2 linked regions of the Drosophila melanogaster genome follow. The protein of the gene in region 1 interacts with the protein of each later gene in a pairwise test. Each region holds a gene or a part of one and is shown on either strand. Other genes may lie near its edges. The genes, in order: gammaCOP and Sec10.

Evidence for each region.
Region 2: the proteins of gammaCOP (region 1) and Sec10 interact in a two-hybrid assay, tested with the Drosophila melanogaster proteins (one large-scale study listed by BioGRID).

Annotation. Positions count from the first base shown.
Region 1 is NT_033777.3:31,570,471-31,576,371, forward strand, and holds gammaCOP (coat protein (coatomer) gamma), read left to right. Parts: upstream 1-1,672; 5' UTR 1,673-1,768; coding exon of another isoform or gene 1,769-1,808; 5' UTR 1,809-1,975; coding exon 1,976-2,686; intron 2,687-2,783; coding exon 2,784-4,254; intron 4,255-4,330; coding exon 4,331-4,516; intron 4,517-4,574; coding exon 4,575-4,727; intron 4,728-4,785; coding exon 4,786-4,916; coding exon of another isoform or gene 4,917-4,973; 3' UTR 4,974-5,237; downstream 5,238-5,901. UniProt on the Drosophila melanogaster protein: The coatomer is a cytosolic protein complex that binds to dilysine motifs and reversibly associates with Golgi non-clathrin-coated vesicles, which further mediate biosynthetic protein transport from the ER, via the Golgi up to the trans Golgi network.
Region 2 is NT_033777.3:24,133,055-24,138,340, forward strand, and holds Sec10 (secretory 10), read left to right. Parts: upstream 1-1,776; 5' UTR 1,777-1,859; coding exon 1,860-1,892; intron 1,893-1,952; coding exon 1,953-2,857; intron 2,858-2,926; coding exon 2,927-3,514; intron 3,515-3,572; coding exon 3,573-3,762; intron 3,763-3,831; coding exon 3,832-4,149; intron 4,150-4,221; coding exon 4,222-4,320; 3' UTR 4,321-4,484; downstream 4,485-5,286. Other genes in the region: Tsc1, read left to right, coding at 1-394, 452-609, 736-865, 923-1,275; Npc2f (Niemann-Pick type C-2f), read left to right, coding at 4,999-5,146. UniProt on the Drosophila melanogaster protein: Component of the exocyst complex involved in the docking of exocytic vesicles with fusion sites on the plasma membrane.

The sequences.
Region 1 (5,901 bases):
CACCAGGCACACTAACGAATGCAAGTGCTTAGAGATTCATATTCGTACTTATGATAGGTATGCAGGTTGGCCCACACACACACCAGTCGGCCATAAAGCTGCCAATGGCCGGCCGAGAGCAACTGACAGCATCAGCCTTGTGGAGTCACAGGCCACCAGCGGATCGGGATCTCTACTTCCATCCTAGCGAAACACCAAACCCTGAGTATCCCATCCCCGCCCGCATTCCTTGCCATTTGCACGCAAAGCTAACTGCGGATTACAGTCGAAGTTCGATGGGGGACAAGAAGATTCCGAAAGTATACACCACTTGCTACTGCTCGTCGAAATCATTCCTGATGTACATTCATATATAGGTAATCAATTAGGAAAACTTTGAAACACGTCTGTTTGGAAATCAGAACAAACCCAGTCTTGGTACAAGAGGTACCCCAGAATGAATGACGCTGTTGTGGGGGAGCGTTGCACAAATTGGAGTTCTACTGTTGGCTGGCATCCAGCCTGAAACTCACCTGTGGCTCACTCCTTGCGTGCGCCGACGTCTCAACTCTTGCTCCGACTTTGGCCTTAGGTTCGCTCCGACTTGGCTTCAACTTGGGATTCGTGGCTTTGTAGGTGTTTCCAGGGGCCACAGCTGATGCCTTGACAGCTACTAAATTCTCCGCCCGTCTGACGCACACGTTCCTTGTCCAATTTTGGGCACCAGGCGGATTTTCCTCCTGGCCGGCGCTTATCGCCTGGCCATAAATTCATGCTGTAGGTGTCTCGATCTTTTCGGTTTCTTTCTTTTTTGGCTTTTTAGCGTTTTGGCGGAGGTCCTCGCCTCGTGGACACGCAATGAAGCTGTTTCTTCGTGCGCCGGAATTTCCCCGCGGCATGCAAAATGCAATTAACGGCACTTGCAGTGCGCCGGAAATTGACAATTCAATATAATGGGTTCCTTGTTTTCGCTAATTGGTGGTGCTTATGCACGCATAAATTAAGTAAACACAATACGAAGTCGTATTTAATTGGTCAAAACAAACTAGAGCTGACAAAAAAGCTGGCGTCCATTTTGTTAACAGGATCAACACTCGATTAAATTAGGAAAAGTAATCGGTACTTAACGGTCACGAGATCTATCGATCAGAACTTCCCCTCCAGCAAATCATAAATGTACTAATAGCGTATATTATAAATATAAACGAAGTTATTATCTAACTAAAAATTCATCGCATTGATCAGCCTTCGCAATCTTCGTCACAATTCCGGCCAATGCCCATTTAAAAAACGAATCAAACTAATGGTAAAAAATTATGAAAATGTAAATAAAATTTAAAACATTATTATATTCATACAATTTCTTAGCAATTTCGTTATAAAGTTAACGTGGAGCAAATTCAAAGCTTAGCTATTTTTCCGCCCATTCATAATCGATAATCTATCGATAAATACAATCGAACCAGTAAGTGAATCTCAACTAGTTCCTTTTCAATCCAGTGAAGAAACAAGAAATTTTAAGAACAAAAAAAACTACCAGATCTCGGTGTCGAGTTAATTGAAAACTGAAAGTTATAATGTGCAGAATCGGCGAATATATACTGCCTACAAAACGCAGAAAAAAGGTTGTCTTTTAAAGATAAGAACAACATCGGAGCTATCGATACTTAACTGGAGTTTTCACATCGATAACAGATGAACCAACTGGGCACCGCTGAGTGACGTGTAAGCGCAGCCAGAAAACCATTTCAATTGTTTTACCCACAATTTAACCGAAAGTTGCAAGACAATGGGTTCGTTCCGCCGCGAGAAAGATGATGAGGAGGACGGTAAGTAGCAAGCTAGCACCTGGAGCCAAGTTGTCCGCCGACCAGCGAAGCCAATCGAAGACAACCCAGTTGCTTGAAGGTGCTCCGCTGGCACAGACACACACTCACACACCCACTAACCCGACAAAGTCGAGAAAAATCGAGGTTTCCCTAAATTGACTGAGAACATGAACTATTTTTCCCTTACCTCGCACAAAAAACATCGCGGCCATCCGTCAGCAGGACCGAGCAATGCGTACCAGAACCTGGAAAAAACCTCGGTGCTTCAGGAGACGCGCACCTTCAATGAGACGCCGGTGAACCCAAGGAAGTGCATCCACATCCTGACCAAAATCCTGTACCTGATTAATCAGGGTGAGCAGCTTGTGGCCCGCGAGGCCACCGACTGCTTTTTTGCGATGACGAAGCTCTTCCAATCTAAGGACGTGGTGCTGCGTCGTATGGTATACCTGGGCATCAAGGAGCTGAGCTCCATTGCCGAGGACGTCATCATCGTGACTAGCTCGCTAACGAAGGATATGACCGGCAAGGAAGACCTGTACAGGGCCGCCGCAATCCGGGCCTTGTGCAGCATCACGGATAACACCATGTTGCAGGCCGTGGAGCGCTACATGAAGCAGTGCATTGTTGACAAAAACGCGGCAGTTTCTTGTGCTGCATTGGTCAGTTCTTTGAGATTGGCCAACACTGCCGGCGACGTGGTCAAGAGGTGGGCAAACGAGGCCCAGGAGGCTTTGAACAGCGACAACATTATGGTACAGTACCACGCGTTGGGTCTGCTCTACCATATCCGCAAGTCGGATCGGCTGGCTGTCTCCAAGTTGGTCAACAAGCTGACCAGAGGATCTCTAAAGAGTCCCTATGCCGTTTGCATGCTGGTAAGTGAAGTCTGAACCCAAACTTTTCTTAATGAAATGGATATGCACTTATTCCCTTTAAAGTGACATCTGACTAATTTCGTTTTACATCCCCCAGATACGCATTGCCTGTAAGCTGATCGAGGAGGAGGACATTCCCTCTGAGGAGCTTTCCGATTCACCCTTGTTTACGTTCATCGAGTCCTGTCTGCGCCACAAGAGCGAGATGGTCATCTACGAGGCGGCCCACGCCATTGTCAACCTCAAGAACACCAATCCGCGAATGCTATCGCCGGCGTTCTCCATCCTCCAGCTTTTCTGCAGCTCGCCGAAGGCAACGTTGCGCTTTGCGGCTGTGCGCACGCTTAACAAGGTGGCGATGACGCACCCGGCTGCGGTGACCACCTGTAACTTGGACCTGGAAGGTCTCATCACGGACTCCAATCGATCGGTGGCCACTCTGGCCATCACTACGCTGCTAAAGACCGGCGCTGAATCCTCGGTAGAGCGTCTGATGAAGCAGATCTCCACGTTTGTGGCGGAGATTTCCGATGAATTCAAGGTGGTGGTCGTGCAGGCCATTTGCGCTCTGTGCACCAAATATCCGCGCAAGCACACAGTGCTGATGAACTTCCTCAGCGGTATGCTGCGCGAGGAGGGTGGCCTTGAATACAAGACCTCCATAGTTGACACCATCATCACGATCATCGAGGAGAATGCGGACGCCAAGGAGTCCGGTTTGTCGCATCTGTGCGAGTTCATCGAGGATTGTGAACACGTTTCACTGGCGGTGAGGATTCTTCACCTGCTGGGCAAGGAGGGACCCTTTGCGGCCACACCCTCCAAGTATATACGCTTTATCTACAACCGCGTCATCTTGGAGAGCCCTATTGTGCGAGCAGCCGCGGTCACGGCCATGGCCCAGTTTGGAGCATCTTGCCCAGCCTTGTTAAGCAATATCCTCGTTCTGCTGGGTCGTTGCCAGATGGACCCGGACGACGAGGTGCGTGACCGTGCCACCTACTACCTTAGCATTCTTAACTCGGAAAGGCCAGAGCTGTACAAGAACTACATCATCGAAAGGGAGAACTGTTCTCTGGCTCTGCTGGAGAAGTCGCTGGTCGAACATCTGAATGGTGACGTGGACACACGCTTCGATATTTCCATTGTGCCCAAGGCGGCCATAGTTAAGCCAGTTATTGCCAACGACGTAATGCTAGTTACCAGCAGTGCTCCACGGCCGCCGAAGATCACGCGCGAGGAGGAGAGTGCTGCACGTCTGGCACAGCTGCCGGGCATCCAGGTGCTGGGCCCCATCCATCGCAGCACAGCTCCCATCCAGCTTACTGAAAGTGAAACGGAGTACACGGTGCAGTGCATCAAACACATATTCGGCCAGCACGTGGTCTTCCAGTTCGATTGCTTGAATACGCTGTCCGACCAAATCCTTGAAAATGTGCGGGTGGAACTCACGCTGCCGGAAGGATTCACAACCAGGGCGGTCATTCCATGTCCCAAGCTACCCTACAACGATCTGCAAACCACTTTTGTCATCGTAGAATTCCCGCCCGACGCCGCCAATTCCATAGGTAAGTTTATAAATAACATAAATTTTGTATTAAAATCATACAACTTTTTTCAAAACGAACTATTTCCTCATTTCAGCCACCTTTGGTGCCACTTTACGATTTGTGGTCAAGGACTGCGACCCCAACACCGGCGAGCCGGAGTCAGAGGAGGGCTATGACGACGAGTACATGCTAGAGGATTTGGAGCTGACGGTTGCCGATCAGATACAGAAAACCAGAAAGAACAATTTCCAAGTGTCCTGGGATGCGGCTGACAGCGAAGGTGCCACAGAAAGATAAATAGGGTCTATTCAATGATTAGTAATACTCTATATTTGCAGAATGGCTACAAGCCGAGGATACCTTTGTGCTGTCGGCAGTGACCACCTTGCAGGATGCCGTCAACACTATAGTCAAGATCCTGGGCTTGGGCGCTGCAAACCTCTCTGAGAATGTGCCCGAGGGTACGCACCTGCATACGTTGCTCTGTTCAGGTAGGCATCCTTCGCTTTTAGTTCTGAGATCAGTAGTACAGTTTTTCCCCCTTTACAGGAACCTTCAGAGGCGGCGCCGAGATTCTTGTGCGGGCCAAGCTGGCGCTTTCAGAAGGCGTCACGCTCAATCTGACGGTGCGCAGCACGGACCAGGACGTGGCGGAGCTGATAACGGCGGCCATTGGATAAGACAGCGAGCCATGCAGGAACCTCCTTTGGTTCCTGCGTGCTGTGAACGTAATCTGAACTCCCTACGAAACTACGAAACAGAAAGTTACGCCTAATCAAAATATAATTTGTACCTTTAAGCGACTGTCTCTGTAATAATCTTAGAGCCCTGTCCACAATCCGGCATGTGCAACATTGAGTATTGCTACTGGCCATTTCCGAAAAGTTTGTGTGGCGATGCAGCCTTCGGTGTGCATCGCATATGTTTATTATCCCCATTTAGCCTGTGCATTTAGCTTAAGTATGGAAACAAAATATTAAAAATACATGTATATGCAATGCAACCCGACCTGAAGGCGTTTATTTGGCAGGTGCTTTTAAAGTAGGACATTGAAATGATTTTAATGATTGCAAGCTCGTGGAAACCGCACCTCCAAAGAGAAATTGCTTCATAACTAGAACTTACTTTATTTTATATGGTATTTTATTTAATTATAAATAACTTATAGTTGCAGTAGCCTAGAGTACTTCTTGTTTTCCTATTTTTACAAATTTCTTTTCTCGTTTGAATCGTTTATGTTCGCTGCGTCCTCCACATTCGTCTTAAATTACAAATTAACCTTTCTCACATGAATTCATAATTTCTTGTGCTTTTGTTCGCAATCGATTCCTTATTATACATTCTCCGATTCCGACTATGCTGAATATTTTTGTGTAAAATGTATCGACGATGCAGTTCCATCAATCGTTCGAAACGCTCTTCCGTATTAAATATTTAAAATGTAAACGCACACAAGTATAAAAATAATATAGATTCGTAATAACAAATAACACACTCATGCAGTTCGCAGCAATTTCACAATGATAATTTCATTTCGTTACAACTCCTATACTCATCTCCAAATGTGTTGAATATGTCATTAGATATATGTTTATATAGTTACGAGTGGTTGGTTGTCTGTTGTGTTTCATGCGGATTTCTCGCCAGGCGAGTGGTATTCGATTG
Region 2 (5,286 bases), 7.4 Mb from region 1:
GCCAACGAGCGCCAGAACATCCACCAGGAGGAGCTGGGCGAAATGAGGGCTAAGTACCAGCACGAACTGGAGGAAAAGAAGTGCCTGCGGCAGGCAAACGATGACCTGCAGACGCGACTCACCAGCGAGTTGGCGCGCCACAAGGAGATGAACTATGAACTGGAGTCTCTGCGAGGTCAGGTCTTCAGTTTGGGAACCGAGCTTCAACACACCCAGCAGCAGGCGGACATTGGGCTGCAGTGCAAGCAGGAGCTGGCACGACTGGAGGCCGAGTTTATTATCATGGGTGAGGTGCAAGTGCGTTGCCGCGACCGTCTGGCTGAGATCGATAACTTCAGGGCCCGCGACGAGGAACTGCAGATGCTACAAGAGAGCAGCAACCTGGAACTGAAGGGTGCCTATTCATTGTTTATATGATACGGATGTTTAATCATTCAGTTTATTTATTAAGATCTGAGGCACAGCCTGGACGAGAAGACATCACAGCTGGAAAGCATGAAGCACAAGATCAGCGACCTGCAGGCCCAGCTAGCCAACAGCGAGAAGGCCATGACGGAGCAAAAGCGACTTCTAAGCACCGTCAAGGATGAGTACGAAGAAAAGTTTAAGGTAGGGCTGATATTTAAAATCGTATACTTATCTGAAATAGTTCGGACTTTTAAGAAATAGTCTGTGTTTACCAGTAACTTCATTTCAATTAAGAGTAATAAGCCTTAAAAATCGTCGTCCTTGCAGTCCGTGAACAAGAAGTATGACGTGCAAAAGAAGATAATTATGCAGATGGAGGAGAAGCTGATGATGATGATGCAGCAGCCGCAAGGAACAACAGGTCATAACACCTGTTCCCCGGACACGGACAGAACTGGTGAGTGCAAGAGCTGCTTCGCAGCTAAAGAATACTTACTATTGCATTCTCCCACAGACATAGCTTCATCCATTGAACGCAACTCACCGCTATCCACGTCGCTGGCCTCGAGCGAGAGCTTATCCGCCAGCCTACGCTCCACGGAGCTGAAGAACCTGCACCAGCTAGTGGACACGCCCACTATTCCGGATGTGCTGAACAGCATGGCCGGTGGCGCTCAGTTCGAGGACGAAGTGCGTCCGCCGGCCGTGGATCTGGCCTCCTCGGCAAGCACCGCCAGTGCCATCAACATCGTGCCGCACGCCTTGGACTTGCCGTCGACCTCCGGCGGCATCGGTCACACGCTCACCCACCCACATCCGCATCCGCACCTGCACCTGCAGCAACAGCAACAGGATCAACTGCAGTAGTAGCAGCAGACGCAGTTTGTAAAAACAAATAAGAACTAGCTTTCCTTCGCTAAACAAATGTCTATTGGGAAAACCCGCACAGAAAATTTACAAAAAAAAGTTATTGGTTCTTCATATTTTCATATTCAGTTCAAAACTGTAACTAAGGTTTAATAAATCGCTGACTCCACGCAATAATTATAAAGGTTATAAAAAATATTAATGTTTGAAATTTTAACTTGTTTAGCACATTGCAATTTGTTGTAAAAAAGTGGTTTTGATACGAGGCAATAAGTAAGACGCGCATTCATATTATAATAAACATTTGATTAAGATCAGCAAACATAAAAGCATTGTTTTATTTTATTTAATTGTAAACATACTATTTGTTATATAACAACCGCCAAACATTTAAATTTTAGCTAAGAGAGCAAACAAAAACGTAAACAAACCGAGCGACATTGCCAGCTGAAAGAAAGTGAGAAGTGTGGCAACCTTAAACGAAACAGCTGAGCGGAAGCAACAATAATATAGAAAGAAGAAGCAGAAAAGAAACGCCTATTAAATCAGATCATTTAAATACGAAAACTTAATAATACATTAAAATGCTATCCCAATACATGGAGGAGTTTGAACAGGTGGGCTCAAAGGTCACGTAGGCCCGATTATGGCTTATATTTATTAATCATAACCAACAGGAACCCTTTGAGGTGGGCGAGTTCATAGAGCGTCTGACTTGGCGCACCAACAATGAACTCCAGAACAGCGAGGACTTTCATCCTGTGGCCCTCCACGATACCTTCATCCAGACCATTAAGGACCTAAAGATCCTGCAGGAGAAGCAACAAAGCAAGTGCGAACGGCTAGAGGAGTCACTGCGCCAGGAGAAGGAGTCGCACGCCAAAAAGATTGCCAAGCTCCAAGAACGCCACCAAACGGCCATTGATGTGTTCGGCCAGCTGGACGAAAAAATCAATTCGGTGGCCGGCAAGATCATGCACCTGGGCGAACAGTTGGAGAATGTGAACACTCCACGCAGTCGTTCAGTGGAGGCCCAGAAGTTACTCAATTTTATGTCCGAGTTTTTAGCCGCTGGCCCTGTGATTGTCAACGATATTTTTGCGGATGCCGCAAGATTAAGTGAGGCCGCAGATGTGATACAAAAGCTCTACGCTATCTCGCAGGATCTGCCGCCCGGAAACTTTGCGGAATCCAAAAGAAAAATCGAAAAGAAATACGATGAAGTCGAGCGGCGGTTGATCGAAGAGTTTGCCACCGCCCAGAAGAGCGAGGACATCGAGCGCATGAAGACACTGGCCCAGATCTTGTCCCAGTTCAAGGGTTACACTCAGTGTGTAGACGCATACATCGAGCAGAGCCAAATGCAACCGTACAGTGGCAAAGACATATTTATAGGCATTGTACCGCTATGCAAGCATCACTACGAGATAATCCAGAAGGTGTTTGCCAATCCGCAGCAGGTTATGTCCAAGTTCATACTTAACATATATCAACTGAAGCTTCACCAGTACGCCATGACTAAGTTGGAGGACAAAAAAGACGAGGAGAAATATCTTCGCACCCTTTATGAGTTATACTCGCGGTGAGTCATTCAGAAGTTACGTTAAATGTCAAAATTTGCGATTACTTTCATTTCACAACCACTTTGCAGCACACTAAAATTGTCAACAGATCTTCAAATCTACATGTCCACGATCGACGACGACTTGTTACAGAAGCTGACACAGCAGATTTTTATAAAGCATTTGGCCGGCTACGCCGAAATGGAGACCAAATGCCTCACAGCCAAGTGTTCCACAGAGCTGGAAAAGTTCTATGCCAGCAAGAAACACCAAAAGACTGCAACTACTAAGGGCTTTCGGAGAAACATGGAGGTGCTGATAGCCACGCGGGCTAACATAAATATTGCTGCCATCGAGGACTATGGCGGGGAGACGTTCCTATCCGAAGAGTTGGCCATCAACATGCTGCAGGAGGCCAAGGCGTCGCTTAAGCGCTGTCGCCTGCTGTCCAACGAGACCGAACTACCAGGCAATGCTATAAAGCTAAACGATATCCTTCTTCGTTTCTTGATGCACGAGCACGTAGATTACGCACTGGAGTTGGGACTGCAAGCAGTGCCACTGGCCGAGGGCAGGGTCTTTCCCCAGCTCTACTTCTTTGATGTGGTGCAAAAGACGAACATCATTGTCCATCTACTGGACAAGCTGTGCCACACATCTGTCATACCCTGTGTGAGGTATGTTAGGACTTTGTTAATTTACATTTTATAGAATGTATAATGTATTCTTTTCTAGTAATACACCCAAGTACTCGGACTATGTGTTCAAAAAACGTATTCTGATGGAGCAAATCGAGACAAAGCTGGACCAGGGTCTTGATCGCTCTATTAGCGCTGTTATTGGCTGGGTCAAGGTATATTTGCAATATGAACAAAAGAAAACGGACTACAAGCCGGAAACAGATGTGGATACAATATCTTCAGCGGTAAGATATAAATTTAGTAAAATCGAGCTTATCTGTCTATCCTTAAAAATGTTTATTTTTCTTTTCTAGGCCTGCTTACAAGTCGTTCAGAATCTGCAGCCCGTGATTGTGCAGATTAAAAAATGTGTTGATGGAGAGAATTTGCAGAATGTTCTTACAGAATTTGGAACTCGGTTGCACCGAGTAATCTACGATCACCTGCAGACCATGCAGTTCAACACGGCTGGCGCCATGTGTGCCATCTGCGACGTGAACGAGTATCGCAAGTGCATTCGCGAGCTGGATAGTCCACTGGTCACGCAGCTGTTTGACATACTGCATGCATTGTGCAATTTACTACTTGTTAAGCCCCAAAACCTTCAAGAAGTTTGCACGGGTGACACTCTGGTAAGTGTGCGGTGCCTTTGATGTCGAGCGATAGTCTTACGTTACCATCTGTATCCACCCCACTCTATTTAGAATTATCTGGACAAGTCGGTGGTGCGGCAATTCATTCAGCTGCGCACTGATTTCAGGATCATCAAGAACACCAACTATCTGAAGGGTATTATTGAGTGAGGAGTTCGACGTCCAGAATGATTCACATTCCAAAATTTTCCACCTTCGCTGTCTACGGATTAAATTGATTTATTAAAGGGGACATTATCTAATGATGTTTAATTATGGCTTGCCATGTTCTTTAACTTTCAATTAAAGTCAAGTGGCTGGTTACTTTTATCAATACATCGCCCGCGTTACTTGATTTACTTTCGTGTATTTATAGGCGCGACTCACACGCGTGCCCGCCGCCCAACCACCCACTCTCAGACCCACACACGCCTCCAGCTACGTCACGGACTTCCCGTTTGGAAATCTTCAAAGAGATTCGCTGACCTTATCAGTTGGAGCTGAAGCGAAAGTCAGCGTTATTTGCTCCCATCGGCTTCCAGTCAATAAATCAAAGTTTATTGCCTAGGCGTCCGCGAATTATTTATTTATTTACGTTTGCCCGGAGAGTGCCAGCACTCCAATCGAAGAGAGGCCGGCTACTTTTGTTGGTACCCACTATTCTTGGTGTCAGTCACCTAATAGCCACCAAGCAAATCGTATCGCCAAAAAAAAACGTTGCCAGCCCGTGATCCTGATTAACGAACTGCTTTGTTATTGTTATTAACATTTCTTATTTGCACACCTACGCAAAATTCGTTTGGACGATATTCTAATCAAACCGCGATCAAGATCTCAGTCGATTAAACCATGCGCGGCGCCCTAATGGATTACTATCTAAAAATACTCTTGGTTATTTGCGCTGCCCACGAATTGGCCGGCGGAACGATCAAGTCTACCAGAGATGCTGTTTACAAAAAATATCTGTCCCTAAGATCTTTGCCCTTCGAGGATTGCGGTAAGTATATCTCAGGATCAGTGCTTTTCGGTGGGTCGATTCAGACAACGTATAAAATCAATTGATTTCCACAGGGGAAAAAAACGGTAAGAAAATATCTCGAGCAGTTTTCTTATACACCATGGCTTTGTTAAGGTATG